Macaca mulatta: one gene and its partner. The protein of the gene in region 1 purifies or fractionates together with the protein of each later gene. This does not show direct contact. Links are inferred from orthologs where the notes say so. Each region holds a gene or a part of one and is shown on either strand. Other genes may lie near its edges.

Evidence for each region. The genes of interacting proteins can lie anywhere in the genome.
Region 2: the proteins of GNB5 (region 1) and GNG2 purify together in Homo sapiens (affinity purification with western blotting; 4 studies listed by BioGRID and IntAct, with this or other methods). This does not show direct contact. The link is inferred for Macaca mulatta from reciprocal best matches to the Homo sapiens genes GNB5 and GNG2.

Annotation. Positions count from the first base shown.
Region 1 is NC_133412.1:29,420,450-29,423,247, forward strand, and holds part of GNB5 (guanine nucleotide-binding protein subunit beta-5), read right to left. Parts: intron 2,669-2,798; coding exon 2,572-2,668; intron 1,243-2,571; coding exon 1,076-1,242; intron 1-1,075. UniProt on the Homo sapiens protein: Enhances GTPase-activating protein (GAP) activity of regulator of G protein signaling (RGS) proteins, such as RGS7 and RGS9, hence involved in the termination of the signaling initiated by the G protein coupled receptors (GPCRs) by accelerating the GTP hydrolysis on the G-alpha subunits, thereby promoting their inactivation.
Region 2 is NC_133412.1:125,049,498-125,053,676, reverse strand, and holds the start of GNG2 (guanine nucleotide-binding protein G(I)/G(S)/G(O) subunit gamma-2), read right to left. Parts: upstream 2,814-4,179; 5' UTR 2,681-2,813; intron 1-2,680. UniProt on the Homo sapiens protein: Guanine nucleotide-binding proteins (G proteins) are involved as a modulator or transducer in various transmembrane signaling systems.

The DNA.
Region 1 (2,798 bases):
CAAAGACCTGCCTTAAACCAGACCAAAAAAACCTCGTGCATGCCTTTGTCCTCCTCTTCTGAGATGCCACTACACCTCTACCAATTCTTGATGTTCCACACTGAGGTAAGCAATCAATTTAGCTTTGCTCTATGAATGGGCATCTTTTTTTTTTTTTTTTTTGAGACAGAGTCTTGCTCTGTTGCCCAGGCTGGAGTGCAGTGGGATGATCTCGGCTAACTGCAACCTCTGCCTCCTGGGTTCAAGCGATTCTCCTGCCTCAGCCTCCCGAGTAGCTGGGACTACAGGTGCCTGCCACCACGCCTGGCTGATTTTTGTATTTTTAGTAGAGACGGGGTTTCACCATGTTGCCCAGGCTGGTCTGGAACTCCTGACCTCAAGTGATCTGCCCACCTCAGCCTCCCAAAGTGCTACAATTACAGGTGTGAGCCACCACGCCCGGCTTAAACAGGCTATTTTGGTAGTATTTTGGGGGAGCCAACACTCAACAAGGTTATGGAGCTATCTTTGAGAATTTAATGAAAGCCATGAGGACAAAATGCATACACCCCAAATTTGGCATATATAATTTCAGGGGCTTCTCTTCCAAAATTAAGCTATAGGAAAACTAAAAAAAAAAAAAAAAAAAAAGGAAGATAAAAGTAATAATTTCAGGGGCTTCACAGCCTCTTGGATCTGTGACCCTTGTCATCACACGGTTAATAATTGTAATAAGAACCCTATACTATAGGAGAAAAGACTGGTTATCTGTGGTTTGCCAAAGGCTAGAATCACAAGAATCAGACTTTTAGGGTCAAAAGGAACTTTCTGGAGGATGAAGCCTAACTATTCCCTCACCTACAGGCTGATACGCAGTTGTCGAATCTATACGAAAATACCTGCATTGATGGGGCACTCGCTACCTCTCCAGGCAACTAGTTCCTCCTGTGGCTGTGGGCAGAGCGGAAACGAGAGCTCCGCGAGGCTGACCAGGCCCACCTGAGCTTACTCTGAAAGCCTTCCCTCTGCTTCAGAAGGCCCGTCACCCCTCCCCTCTCCTCTCACACACAGGAAAAGAGAAAACCACCTCTCTTACTCTGAGGGTATGATCCCATGATCCTGAGCAGAAAGCAGTCCCATCGGGGGAAACTCGTAGAGTGCTAACGCGGTTTTCATGGCCAAACAGGATGGAGACCCGGGACCCTTTGAGAACATCCCAGACGTTGATAGTGTAATCATTGTATCCAGCAAACAGCAGGCGACCTTGAAGCAGGGTGAGATGATAGCTGTTAAGCCAGTTCCTTGCTTCCTGTTTCTCATTACATGACTGTCACTCACTCACTCATTCAGTAAGCAGTGATTCAGGCCCACTGAGTCCTAGGCACTGTACTTTGCCTTGAGGATTTAAAGGGGAGAAAGCACAGTCACGGCCCCTGGTGGAGGATGTGGGGCCGAGAGGAACAGATCACTGTAGCATCCCATGGTAACAGCCATAATGCAAGTGCTTTACACACGTAAAGTGCTATGGGACCAGAGAGGAAGGGGGATCAAGGGGGGCACTGCAGACACAAATAAATTATTTCTAGTCATTTGCTAGTTAACAACTTGTAAAACTTGTTTAAAGAGAGAAAGTTAAAGTGACATTTGAGCTGGCTCTTGAGGGTTGAATAGGAGTCAGTCATGCAGAGAAGGCAGGGAAAAGATGTTCCAGGCAGTAGCAGGAACTTCATGTGCAGATAGTCTAGGGATGTGTCTGGGGAAATCGAGTGGTCCAGGTAGCCAGCCTGTTACCTCTGCTTTAACTTTCCATTTTGCTTTCTTTCTTTGACATGATCTTTCTGGAGCTATGCTTTTTCACTAGCAACTTCCCACAAAGGAGCCATGAGCTTCATTCACGGCACTGAGAAGGGACTCATTTTATTTTTTCCCTTTGAGTCGGAGTCTTGCTCTGCTGCCCAGGGTGGAGTGCAGTGGCACAATCTCAGCTCACTGCAAGCTCCATTTCCCAGGTTCAAGTGATTCTCCTGCCTCAGCCTCCCGAGTAGCTGGGATTACAGGCATTCACCACCATGCCCAACCAAGTTTTGTATTTTTAGTAGAGACAAGGTTGCACCGTGTTGGCCAGGCTGGTTTCGAACTCCTGACCTCAAGTGATCGCCTGCCTTGGCCTCCCAACGTGCTGGGATTATAGGCGTGAGTCACAGTGCCTGGTCAAGAAGGGACTCTTGCTTAACCTCCACCTTAGAGAAAAGTTCCCTTTGGGGCATGAAGAGAAGCAAAGACTGGGGAGAAAAATGCCTGAGAGCATTGCAGAAGTGAATTTCTGACACTTCATTGCCTTGAAGGACAGCATTAGGTGAGTACACAGCCTTCATCTCCCCCTGGAGTGAATGGGGCTAGGGGAAGTTGCCTGGAGCAGGGCAAAGTGGGAGGTCAGAAGCTCAGAGGAAAACTGGTGCAAATGTGGATGATTTTGCATACTGGTCCACAGGAAGCTCGGTTAATGAAAAGGAACTGAGTGATGGTGGAGCGCTAGTTTCATTCCGGTCCTGTCTTACAGTCCCGGGAAAAGTTTCTGAAATAAAATCTTACCACTGAGGGAGAAGTCCACGCTGGATGCTCCAAATATGATACTCTCTTTGGAATAGATGGCGACCTCCCTGTCTGCCCGCAGGTCATAGAGGCGACACTGGGGGGCAAATAAATAAAGCAGCACTTACTTCTGGCTTCAGTTTGGTGATGTGATGACCACAGAGCTACAGGTAGGTGCTAGTGACTTGTGCAGTTTAAAGGATGAAGGAAAAACTTCTTAGTTTTTC
Region 2 (4,179 bases), about 96 Mb from region 1:
CTAACTTTTCCTTATGTCACCAAGGAAGAAAAAATAACATTTGAGTATCTTCTATGTAGAAAGCACTCACTTATCCGCACACAAAAGCAAAAACAAAACAAAAGAAAAACTTTGATTATGTATTATTAGCCCTTCTTTACAATGAGGAAACTGAGGTTCCTAAGTTAATGTACCAAGTTAAGTAGTAAGAACCAGTGATAGGTTTCAAAGGCAGATCTGTCTGCCTCCAAAGCCTGTGTTCTTTTCACTCCACAGTGTTTTCTCCTACCCACAGAAGTCTTTTATGAACAGGCTTTCTACTTTGACTATACAGCTTTTAGACTTAAAAGTTGGGCTTGCTTTCTGAAGCAGGCTAAACAAAGTCAGTCAACCAAACATATTCACTACATGCCCACCATATGAGGCCCAAGGCTGGCCATGAAATAATGGAGTCATGTTTCCATTCAGCCATTGGCCATATGGCAGAAAAAAAAAAAATAGTACAATTAAAATTTCAGTGTTGGTCTACTCCTCAACAGCCAGTGAATACCCCAAGAAAAATCATTATGTCTTTCAATATTCCATATGGCCAGAATAAGTGGAAATAGTTTCATTTTACAGCATAGAAGCATATTCATCTTTTTGCTAAACATTCTACCATCATAGTTACTGATCTGCTGTTACTCACTAATGTTCTGCTTCAAGCTGGAATTTAACAATTAAGAAATGTTTTGTGCTGTGCAGAAAATAGGCACCTCTTAGTTGTTTTCAGAAAGATAGCAGGGCCCTCTTGACTCTACTATGCCCGTCGGGCAAGGTTTCATTTTCTTACTCATGTGTGAAACACACACAGAAGAGTAATGCAGATTGTCTGTGCCTCCCCAAACAAAGCAGGGTGTTGGCATTATCTAGTGAATACAGCCTGCAGAGGAGTAAGTATCAAAGGGTAAGCCTGTCCTCATCCATGCAGCTCAGGTTACCAACTTTTTACTTCATTTCATGATGTACAGCTTGATTCTAGAACTCCACTGGGTCATTCTGGATCTAAGATCTACCCTAGGTCTCCTCTCTAAGAAGATGATCTTTACATATTTCCCTTTAGGATGCAAATAGGAAGCCGAACTGCAAAATCCATGTCACGACTTGTTTTGCCCACAAGTTTGATTAAATTCAGTAAATCCTTCAAGGAGTTCCATGGTTTCAATACCAGCAGTACTTTGTCTCTTAGGCACGGTGCAGGTTTACTTTAATGAGCAAAAAACCTCTGAGAAATAGACATTTTTTTTCTTTAGTAGCTATGAAAGCTTCCCATCTCTCAAAATGTGCTGCTACTCCACAGATTTTGAGAAGCCATATCGATTTCATAAAGATAGCATTAAAAACAGCCCTATAGCTCTTCACAAGTGAGAATGATGATAAACGAGGAGATACATATATACATGCCCTCTCAACTAGCATATTTGGTATTTAAGAACCTATGTTTCAAGAATTTGTGAGTGTCAAAATATTGACATTTTTGTTATTTTTACTCCAATATAAGCAGTTTTTTCCTCTTTCTTTTGAAAAATTATCTCCTTTCATTATAGAAACTCTAGAAAAAAAACCCCTTTTATCAATAACTACTTACTGCTTAACTGTACTTTCTGTTGAAGATTAAAAAAATAGCTTAATTCTTTAAATCGTGCTATACCAGGGTATTAAACTCACCTATATATCCTGTCAGAGGAATCTCACAATCTCAGTTCTCATCTGCCAGACCTATTTAGTGTACTTTTACATATCATTCATAAATATGAACAAGCCATAGACCCAAGCTCTCATTAAGAACATTCTTGGCTCAAGAAAATCAAAGAATAAAAATCATGTTCTGGTTTTACTACTTCCGTCTATCTACAGCATATTCGTGTAAGGAAAGAACCCAGCTGCACTTTTTTATTTTGTCCCTCACCGAGGCTAGCATGCACCTTGACCTAGAGGTGAAGAAAACGCATATAAACATAAAATCCATACATATACTAGTATCTGATTCTGGACAAGTTACTGGCCTTAAACCCGCCACACTCCTTTGAACAAGGATGCAACTTTAGGATAAGACCTACTGGCAAATGATAGCTGTGCCTGAGGTTATCCTGAAAGCAGCTGCACAAGCTAAGGGAGGAAGACACTGTTTTTTTAATGGTAAATACTGCCCCTCACATACGCAATTCGAGCCTTTGTTGGCAAAATCTAAGTACAAAAGAATTTAACTCCCCCAAAAGCGAAATCACAGCCATTATTTTTGCAGATCAGAAGACATCCCAGTGCAATGTGTAAGAAAGAGAATGCAATTAATATTTTACACCACTTACTCCCCTAAAACAAGGGGACTGCAAGGCTCCGATGACCAGACCACGGCTTCACAGCCCCAGATGGATTTCGACTCAGCCCTGGTTTTCTTCCGAGAGAACTATACAAACAGCTTCTTGTATTTAGCATGTTGCCCTGTCGAGTCATCAAATCTAAGCACTGATGATGAGGGTTTTTTTTAATCAAATGTGTCATAAATGTGGTCGTTCTCAAAGACCCTTCCAAAAGAATCTAATCATTTCCCCTAGTCTTGAAGCGATGTCTTTATCATCCCTTAGAAATCGGACCTTAAAACCACAGGCGACGGTCATTTTTCTCAATTAAAAACGAGCAACATGGAAAACGTTTCCTTTACCTTAGCTCCCGAGGCTTGGTCAGAGGAGTGTGGTTTTCCCCTGTCTCCGGAGCTGATCTGTGCAGGAGAGCTCCGGCGCAGCCCAGCCCAGCCCAGCCCAGCAGTAGTAGGAGTTGCCCACGGAGCGCGGCGGCAGCGTTGTGAGTATGTGTAGCGGCGGCTGCAGCCCAGGGACTAGTCCCCACCCAGCTTTGTCTTCAATCAACGTTCTCTCTACAGGAAGCAGCGCATCTCCCACTTCCTCCTCTTCTTGGTAGCTGTTAGCGGCTTGCTTCTTTTCCCTCTCATTTCCATTTCAGGGCTTACTCTGGTGGTTTTGTCTGCTCCTGGGCTGCTGACAGTGATTTGACTTTAATCCCCCTTCTCCCTTTGTTCAAGTCCCTCTGGTGCTGTCTGTTCCTTCCTTCCCCTTTTCTCATGGCCCCACCGTCACCTCCGCGACAGCTTCCACACACCGCTCAGTCGGCCCCCTTCCTGGCACACTGCCTGCTTTTTTAGCCTGAACTTGGCTTGTAGCTATTGTTGTTCTTGCTGTTGTTGTTGCTACTGCTGCTGCTGCTTTTTTGGGTCAACATCCCCTGGTCAGGTTCTGGCCCCCAAGATCCCACACCAGCCTCCACTGTTCCTCCTGATTTACTGTGGTCCCCATCAAGCCAGCTAGCTGGGAGCTTGCAGCTTGCAGCTTGCAGCTTCTCACTGCAGCATTTTTCTCAGTGGCCAACATTTCAGATGCTTCATTTCTCCAAGGTCCCACTACCACTGAGATCTTACTTAACCCACATGCTCAGAAAAGAATGGCCTGATAAGTATTCTTATGGGGCACGGGAACTAAACCAAGTTTGGCGATGCTACCTATAGGCCTAACAGTGAGGACTATTTCCAAAAGATTCTCATAGATGGGAAGGAATGAGGTGGTGCTGAATGCTACACATTCCCAACAGAGAAACTGAATATCCCTCTCCCCATCCCCCACACACTAGCAGGGCTGAAAGGACCCTCGCGATCCTCCAGTCCCTTCCCTTCATCTTAGGAGGTAATATCGTGGAACACACAAGGGTAGAGACTGCAAGCTGTTTGTCTGCCAGAATTTCAATCCGTTGCCATTACTGACTGTATGAACTTGGGCAAATTATTTAACGTCTATGTGCCTCAGTTTCCTCATCTGCAAAATGTAGTTGATGATAGCCATGCTCTACAGTGGAAACCTGAGGATTAAATGAGATGGTATACAAAATGCTAATAGTTCTGGGGACATAGGGAGTATTCGGCACATAATAACTCTTATTATTTTTAGAGGACATTGGGCCTCACATTCAGTAAGTGATTTCGGCAGTCAGCAGCCAAACCCTCACCAGTACTTGGTTTTCCGATTCCTCACTATTAGTATGTTCGCAACTGAACCCGGATGCCTTAATAACAATTTATTCAACGTGTGAGTCATTCTCCCCCCAGTACTAACACCAGGTACTTTGGGGAAGCTACAGATTAAACATGAGATG